Mus musculus: one gene and its partner. The protein of the gene in region 1 interacts with the protein of each later gene in a pairwise test. Links are inferred from orthologs where the notes say so. Each region holds a gene or a part of one and is shown on either strand. Other genes may lie near its edges.

Evidence for each region. The genes of interacting proteins can lie anywhere in the genome.
Region 2: the proteins of Psmc5 (region 1) and Rorc interact in binary tests that used the Homo sapiens proteins (3 or more experiments, as listed by UniProt). The link is inferred for Mus musculus from reciprocal best matches to the Homo sapiens genes PSMC5 and RORC.

The regions. Positions count from the first base shown.
Region 1 is NC_000077.6:106,254,610-106,259,302, reverse strand, and holds the start of Psmc5 (26S proteasome regulatory subunit 8), read right to left. Parts: upstream 3,119-4,693; 5' UTR 3,113-3,118; coding exon 3,089-3,112; intron 2,456-3,088; coding exon 2,384-2,455; intron 1-2,383. Other genes in the region: pre-rRNA 2'-O-ribose RNA methyltransferase FTSJ3, read left to right, coding at 3,652-3,718, 3,878-3,983, 4,471-4,517, 4,617-4,693.
Region 2 is NC_000069.6:94,389,247-94,393,466, forward strand, and holds part of Rorc (nuclear receptor ROR-gamma), read left to right. Parts: coding exon 1-11; intron 12-228; coding exon 229-350; intron 351-1,153; coding exon of another isoform or gene 1,154-1,213; exon of another isoform or gene 1,214-1,827; coding exon 1,828-1,960; intron 1,961-2,133; coding exon 2,134-2,241; intron 2,242-2,398; coding exon 2,399-2,509; intron 2,510-3,784; coding exon 3,785-3,894; intron 3,895-4,220. UniProt on the Homo sapiens protein: Nuclear receptor that binds DNA as a monomer to ROR response elements (RORE) containing a single core motif half-site 5'-AGGTCA-3' preceded by a short A-T-rich sequence.

The DNA.
Region 1 (4,693 bases):
TCTACATAATATATAATGCATATAAGCTGTGGATATACTTGTAGTTAAATGCAATTTTCCCATCTGGATTGATAATGCTCCATTCAGGACTGGTTAATAAAAACCCACCACGTCTGAGAAGCCACCTAAAACACAGGCAATTTCTATTGCTCGTGGTGCCCCCTCCTCCCGAGGAGTGAAGCACGACTCCATTGCTGAAGGCACCGTTCAACTTCACACACAGGACCCAGAGCACTTGATTTGGCTGCCTTTTCCCTAAGGCGCCACACAAGCTTCTCGGGGGCAGGAGGGGGGGGGGGGCGAGCAACCAACAGTTCTCTTCAGCTACGATGCCTATGAACCGCGATTACTGTGGTGGCGCCCAACAGTTCTCAAATTGGACTTGCAGCCTGCTTAACAGGAGGAAAACCACACCTGGTATTAGAAACATAGCCAACTACCCTGGGCTAGTTAAGTTATGGATCTTGGAGAACCTACAATCACCACTTTACCTGCATCATTCCTAACTGCAGTGCATTTACTATAGACAAATGTAGTTCTAATCCCTTCTCAAGAAACTTCTCTTGGCAGCAAACGGAGACAATTACAGACAACCACAACTGATCAAAATGTAGAGACCGAGACTCAGCAGTGCCGGGTCCCAACTGACGCACGTACAACGCAACCCCTACACCTAAGGCTCGGAGCTCCAAGATTCCAGGAGCCAGAGAGACAAAAGTCTGCTGGGAGACTGTCTCTTAGAAATGTCAGAGGCCACACTCATGAAATCTCATCAATATGGCTGCTTAAATTAAGTCCTGAGCATTGATGACACCAACGGGCTTGCTTGCTAACCCGGAGGGGAGAGGTTCATTCATGGCGCCTCAACCCTAGACAAAGAATTAAGGGCTCCTGAGGAATGCTAAGAGGACAACAGACTTCTCCAAGGAGGAACCCCCATTTGGTTATCCAATACCAAGTGAGCATATACATACAGGTAACATTATATAGACTGAACAGGTTGTATTTAAGTATTTAGGGTGGTGGTGGTGATAAGGATTTCAAAATATAAAATTAGGAAAAAACAAAACAAAAAAAAAAAAACCCAAAAATTAGGAAAAACAGTTAGTCTAATAGGTAGGCATGATGACACAGGCTCGTAATTCCAACCCTAATGAGGCTGAGGCTGGGAGCTGGAGAGTGTCAGACCAGTCTGGGCTATACAATGAGATTCTATTTTAACAAATCCATTAAATAAACAAAAATAAGACAAAGGCAAGACAACAGAAGACAGACAACAGCATCCACTCTCCTGCTTCATTTCAGACCCAGGAGGGATGAAATCACATAGAGAAGCATTAAAAAGGGATAAAAACCATACTGGGTGTGGAGGCTCATGCTTTTATCCCAGCACCTGGGAGGCAGGCGAATTCTGAGACTGAGTCCAGCCTGGTCTACATGGGGAGTTGTGGGTCAGTTGCGGGTACATGGTGAGACATTTGTCTAAAGAAGAAAAAGTAAACTAAACGGAAGAACTGCAAATGTGCCTGAGGTTCAGGCATTCTCTCTGCGGCTTCCCTCCCAAACCCATTCTCGCTCCCACTCCCACCTTTGGCCAGTGGTTCCTCTGTAGGTGGTTTTGTTTTCCAGACAGGGCTGTACGTAATCCAGACTGGCTTCAAACTCAAAACACTGCTCCTGCCTCGGCTCTGGAGTGGCAACCTTACAGGTGTAATATTTGACTCTTGGGCCCGGAGAGGTGGATAAATGAGCCAGCCGCTCCTCTAGAGAACCTGGGTTCGATTCCCAGCACCCACATGGCCGCTCACAACTTTCTATAACTCCACTTCTAGGGCATCCTACACTGTCTTCTGGCCTTCACAGGCAAATGTAGGGCACAGACATTGGATGCAAGCAAAACACCCAAACACATAAAACGAAAAACCTGGAAAAGCAAGCAAGCAAGCACACAAACAAAAAATCCTAACTAAACACTATTCCCATCAAAGAGATTATCAATCTACCTTACACAGCTTGGTACCTCCTGACTACAAAGGAGCTGGAGAGATGGCTCAGCAGTCAAGAGGGTTTCTTACTGCTTTTGCAGAGGGCCTGGGTTTAGTTCTCAGCACCTGTAGTAGCTCATAACTATTTGTACGTAACTCAAGTTTCAGGGGATCCACTGCCCTCTTCTGACTTGCACAGACATCTGTATATATGTGATACACATAAGCTTACGCAGGCATATATACATATACACATAAGAAACAGACAAGCAAAGAGCTGCAAACGAACAACATTGGAAAAGAACTCTTTGCTGCACTCCCAGTGGAAAAAGGACACAGAGAAATCTGCACCTACCAGCTCCCGTCCTCCACTAGCTCCCTTTGCTGTCTGTACTCACCTGGAGTTCTTCAATCTTGGACAGATAATATTGACGGAGTCCACTGCCTGCCTTCCCCTCTTCCAGTTCCATCTGAAGACAAGTGTAAGTGTTAAAAAAAAAAAAGAAGAAAAGAAAAGAAAAGAAAAAGAAAAGGCATAAAGTACTAAAGGGTAAAGCCAAAGTATTTTCGAGGCACTCTACCATATAGCTTAAGAAACAAGGTCAGGAAAATACCATTCCCTTTTCCTCAGAAACTGGTATCTCGATGGGCGAGGTCTGTGTGTTTGAACTTCGGAGGCTTAGTTCTTGGTTCTAAGCCTTCATTTCTGAATCCACTACAAGGATGCAATTACCGCCTACCTTCGAGGACTTTTAGGAGTCTCAAGGGGCCATATACCCACCGAGCGCACTGCCCTGTGGCTAGAGCTACACATCCCCAGGGTTTAACTACTACAGACAAAGGCAGAACAGAGGGACCAAGTCCAGGTCGAAGCCCAGGCCATTCCGGCTTGCCAGCTTCATTCAGTTTCCACCCACCCCTGTCCTGCTTTCCTCAGGGCGGCGCTGACACAGCAGATCCAGTCCCAGGCAGAGTCCGGTCTGACGTGATCCACCCACCCCTGATCCACTGGACCCTCTCGCTCGTGGCCACCCCTCACTTCAGATTTTGTGCACTCCACACTCAGCTTGGATGCCGCCCAGCCGCCGCGGCAGAATCCTTACCTGCTCTGGCCCATCAAGCGCCATCTTCCCTCTCTCGGCAGGGATCGCCGGCATCCAAGTCACTCTATCGCGCAGGCGCGGAGGCGAAAGCATGCGCCCTGGGTCACCACCGAGAACAGTTCCGGGTCAATGGGCGGGGTGTGTGGCGATACAAACACAGTGGCTGTATTAGTAGAGGCTCTACTGGAGGTCACTAGTTTTGTGAAGAGATATAGAACTTCTGGTTGATGCTTCCTAGCGTTTAGGATACGAGTTATTGCACTCTACTTCCTAGCCTCTACTTTTAACTTGTAAGGCCTGCTGACAAAAAAATTTTGGCCACACTCAAAATGGCGGAAATCATGACGCCAGGAATGTAGGAAACGCGCGCAGAAGCGGAAGTACGATTACTGCCTACATGTGCTGCTTCCTAAGAGTTGAAAACCTGCGGAGTTAAGGGCTATCTAACGTCTGGGTAAGTGATTGCTCCACCGCCTGAGGAACCGAAGCGAGATCCAGTGCTCGGAAAGACGATCTCACCTTTTTCTTTCTCCCCAGAGTGAGTGATACTCCCCCATCCCGCCATGGGCAAGAAAGGCAAAGTAGGCAAGAGCCGGCGGGACAAGTTCTATCACTTGGCCAAGGAGACTGGTGAGTGGGTTCGCGCTGAGGAACAACATCCCCGTCTTTTCGCTTCTTCTAGTCCCGAGTTCCTTTTCCTTCGAGGGGGTTATGGGATTGTGAGGCTTTCCTCCTGGGAAAGGCCTCCGTAGACGGTATTGCCTTATACACCCACTCTCCACGATCCAGGTTATCGTTCGCGCTCTGCCTTCAAACTGATCCAGCTCAATCGCCGCTTTCAGTTCCTGCAGAAAGCCCGGGCCTTGTTGGACCTGTGTGCTGCGCCTGGCGGATGGTAACGTTTGGCAGGGGCTGCTATGATGACACGTTCCTGGCACTGGTTGGCTTTGAGTTGCTTTTCGGGGAGGATGGGAATCCGATTACACAATTCAGATTAAATATTCCATAGTATGTGTCTCTCTCAAATTTTGGAAGGGAGCGTCATTTTCCCCCTCTTGTGGTACTGAACCTAAGGACTTAACTCATGCTAAGGACTTAACTCATGCTAGGCAGCCCCTCCACCACCGAGTTATATCTCCAATTGCTTTATTTTGAGACAGGGACGCTGAAAAATTGCCAAGGATGGCCTTGAACTTTTGGTCTTAATCTCTTGCCCTCCTTAGTGGCTGGTAATGCAGCCCTGTGTTGCCATGCCCAGCAGGTTGCTTCTTGAATGTATGCATAGACATTTGGCCACTACACTTAACAGGTGCCTCTTAAGGGGATGAGAAGTCACCTTGCCAAGGGAGGATGAAAGGTATTTAAATCTGTCTCTTTCACAGGCTGCAGGTGGCTGCCAAGTTTATGCCTGTATCCAGTCTTATTGTAGGTGGGTGACTCTTGGGTATTTGAGGGGGAGGGGTGGGTTAGGTACTAATTTTGTCCTACATCTTCCTCCACCCTGTAATACTGAGTTAACATCTTTTAGGAGTGGACCTCGTTCCAATCAAGCCTCTCCCCAATGTGGTGACTCTCCAGGAGGATATCACAACAGAACGCTGTAGG
Region 2 (4,220 bases), on another chromosome or scaffold:
GACAGACATAGGTGAGCATCTGGGAAGGGTGGGGGCAGTGAAAATGAGACAAGAACTTCCTCCAGCACGGTGCCCATGTAATCAAGCATTAGTCCTAAGGAATTAGGGATCCTGGACAAAAAGCCAAGGGAGGAGGCAGAGCAAGGGAGGCCAGGCAGAGGGCCTCTTTATGAACTTTGGGGTGGGAACTGGCTGATATCTAGCTGTGACTTCATCTTCTGGCCCCAGAGTACCTGGTACAGAATGTCTGCAAGTCCTTCCGAGAGACATGCCAGCTGCGACTGGAGGACCTTCTACGGCAGCGCACCAACCTCTTTTCACGGGAGGAGGTGACCAGCTACCAGAGGAAGGTAAGGGCAAGAGACATGAGGGAAGGGAGGGCACCACCACACGCGGGTGCGGTGCGGGCGCGCGCGCGCGCACACACACACACACACTGGTAGAGCCCAGATATGGCGTCTTTCACAGGAATGGGGGTAGCAATAGGGTATCACAGGCTGGCTAACAGGTGTGACTGTCTGTATCCAGGCAGCAAGATGACTATTTCTGTAGCTCCTGCTTATTGAGATTTCACCTAGTTAGCAACCTACATCCTCTTCCACCCAGACCTTGCCACACTGCCTTTCATCCTCCATCAGTAACTGATGCTAATCAGTATCTGAGGGTCATTTACTGGACACCCTTTCCTGTCAGGCATTGTAATAGAAGCTTTGAATTGTGTTCAACCTGCTGTTTGTGAACTACAAGTGTCTAAAGATAGTGATAAATGTGGCCCAATGCAAAATCATGAGAATGTTTTTGGTTGGTTGATTGGTTGGTTGGTTGGTTGGTTGGTTGGTTGTTGGTTGGATGTTGTTGGTTATTTGGTTGTGGTTGGTTGTTGGTTGTTGGTTGGTTGGTTGGTTGGTTGGTTGGTTGATTGGTTGTTGGTTAGTTTGGCTGGTTCCAAGACAAGGTTTTGCTGTGTAGCCCTGGCTGTCCTGGAACTTACTTGGTAGACCAGGCTGGCCTCGAACTCAGAGATTCACCTGCCTCTGCCTCCTGAGTGCCGGAACTAAATGTGTGCACTACCACCACCCAGCTCTAAAATGTGAGATTTTTAGAAACTTGATTCTCAGGTATAAACTTTGTAGATAACTATGTCAAATTACAGTGTCAGAGGCTAGACACACCTGTGAGATCATCCTCAGCCCGTCCAACAACTGGCCTCTGAGAACAGAATTTACACTGAGGGAGAAGTACAGAAGATCATACAGAGATGGCTCCACAGTGTCTGCCACCCCTTCTGTCACACTCTGACAGTACCAGAGGCTCTGAAGTCAGCTGGCACTTCACATTTGCACCTCTCAGTTGCTGAGACCTTCTTCAGGAGGAGCAGTAATTAACAATGTGTACACTGTTTGCAGGTGAAACTGTATCATGTATGGTTTCCCTTTCTCCACAACAGCTATCACAGTGTTGCAGGAAAGCCATCGCCTCCTATCTGGAGCCACTCCCTGGGAATCCGGGAAGCTCTCTGGCAACCTTTTCTCTCCCGTAGCAGAATCCTAATACCTAGTATTGAATGGACTTCACAAGAGACCAGGTTATCAGGGAGAAAGGAGTTTGAAGTTAAGAAATTAGAAGTTTTCAACCCTTATATAAGTCTCTGGGATTCCTTGTACTGAGCTGGGGATAGCAGTAACTGTAACTCACTGACAGGCACTGACCCTGGCTACATTTGTGCTAATAGGCTCTATGGTTGACAACAATATACAACTCATACCCTAAAGTTTATGGGGTGCAGGGGCTTGGGGGGATCACAGGTCTCCTCCTCTATCCCCGCAGTCAATGTGGGAGATGTGGGAGCGCTGTGCCCACCACCTCACTGAGGCCATTCAGTATGTGGTGGAGTTTGCCAAGCGGCTTTCAGGCTTCATGGAGCTCTGCCAGAATGACCAGATCATACTACTGAAAGCAGGTGCACAGGGATTGGCAGGCCCTGGGGGTGGGGGTGGAGCATGGGCTGGGGATGGAAGGACAGACCCAGGGCCAAGTGGAGGGAGGTGACTTAAGGAAATCAAGACACCGAGGGCTTAACAAGACACTGGCTCTGCTTAACATGGCCTACCCATCTTTCTCCCCTTTATCCAGGAGCAATGGAAGTCGTCCTAGTCAGAATGTGCAGGGCCTACAATGCCAACAACCACACAGTCTTTTTTGAAGGCAAATACGGTGGTGTGGAGCTGTTTCGAGCCTTGGGTGAGGGCAGTGGGAATTGAGAAAGTCCTGATGCCAATCCTATCACAAGCCTCTCTACATGGTTGTTTGCCCCCTGCTCTAAACACCCAAGAGTGGCATCCTTGGGGGAGAGGGGAGGCAGCTACCATGCTTACTCTCTTCATCTCCACTCCGGCAGGCTGCAGCGAGCTCATCAGCTCCATATTTGACTTTTCCCACTTCCTCAGCGCCCTGTGTTTTTCTGAGGATGAGATTGCCCTCTACACGGCCCTGGTTCTCATCAATGCCAGTGAGTGTGGCTGGGCATGGGAGCGGGCACTCGTGGCTGAGACACAGCAGCTAATGGCGAACCTAGGCCTTTGGATGTGACTAATGGGAGACTGCTTGAAATAAGGAAATGAGCTCTATCCCGTGCTTCTGTAAAATATAACAGACTAAAGTATGCAGAGGAACCTTAAGACAGGGCGAGGATAGCATACAGTGGGGCAGTGGGAACATGGAGAAGGGAGGTTGGAAGGAAATGAGCCACTTCCCCAATAGATGTTAACCTACTAGCCAGTGTAGGGCAGTGACTCCTTTACAGTACACATGGGAATCACCTAGGGAGCTTTAAGGACTAATTGAGTCCCTGGGTCCCACGTCCAGATTTTGACATAACTCATCTAGGCTGCACCCAAAATTTTAAGTCACCTCCAGATTGAGCCACTAAGACTGAGAATGGCCACTTGATGTGAGCTCATTTTGGGACAGAATGCCTATACTGGCAGTAGAGCTCTGGGTCCAAGCAGCTGAACGATAAATATTCAGAGGACCTAGGGGAGTGGGCCTGCTGCTCTGGGTTGGTTAATGACCATGCAAGCCTTCCAGCTCTACTAACATGACTTCAAGCTAGAAGCAAGACTTCTAGCAAAGGGAAAGGTAGCTTAGGGGCTGAAAGAGAGCCACTGAGTACGTTAGAGTCCTTGGTAAGAAGGTCACCTCTCTGAGTCACTCCTGTAGGAATGAGGAAGCTCTCTTCTAACATTTTACTTCCATGACAGAAATCTAGTGCCTGACATTGAATAAGCTACATGAAAGGCAGGTTACCAGGGACAAGGTAGCTAAAAGTTAGTTAGGAGATTAAAAGTTAGTTAAGGCTTGTATGGTCATTAACCATCCCAGAGCAGCAGGCCCACTCCCCTAGGCCTTCTGAATATTTATCGTTCAGCTGCTTGGACCCAGAGCTCTAGTGCCAGTATAGGCATTCTGTCCCAAAATGAGCTCACATCAAGTGGCCATTCTCAGTCTTAGAATGTCTCCCCACCCCTTTCATCTCTGCCCAGTTTCCCTAGTAGTTAGCTCGACAGGCCTAGAGTCATACAGTTTGCTGTAGTCAAACCAGTACACACATGTGCGCACACATGCATGGGGGTGGGGTGGGGAGGGACAGAGACACAGAGAGACAGAGGCAGAAAGAGACGGAGACAGAGATTCTCTTCAAAAAGATACATGACACCATTTTGTTGGTCACGACTGTCTTTGTTGTTTCCGTTTCACTCTGGTCCCATCCCATCCCTTCCTTCAGACCGTCCTGGGCTCCAAGAGAAGAGGAGAGTGGAACATCTGCAATACAATTTGGAACTGGCTTTCCATCATCATCTCTGCAAGACTCATCGACAAGGCCTCCTAGCCAAGGTAGGAGCAGTCCACAGGGTAGAAGAAACTAGGCCCACTGCCAGTTGTGTGACATCAGGGCCAGGGTCTTCGGGTGCAGAGGAAGGAGTGCTGCAGTGCTGGGCTATGTCAGCGTTTGCAGCAGCTGTGGGCCCTGCTGGAGCATCTGTTTCCATGTACGAAGGGATGGAAAGTTAGTGTGGAGTTAGAAGAGACCTCCAGGGAACAATTCAGTTTAATATAGCTGACACTTACCCAGCACCTGCTTATACAAGGAACTGTGGAAAGCTACAGAGATGCAGTTCTTGTCCCCACTAAGATATTCTAACCTCTTAAAAAGAGACTTG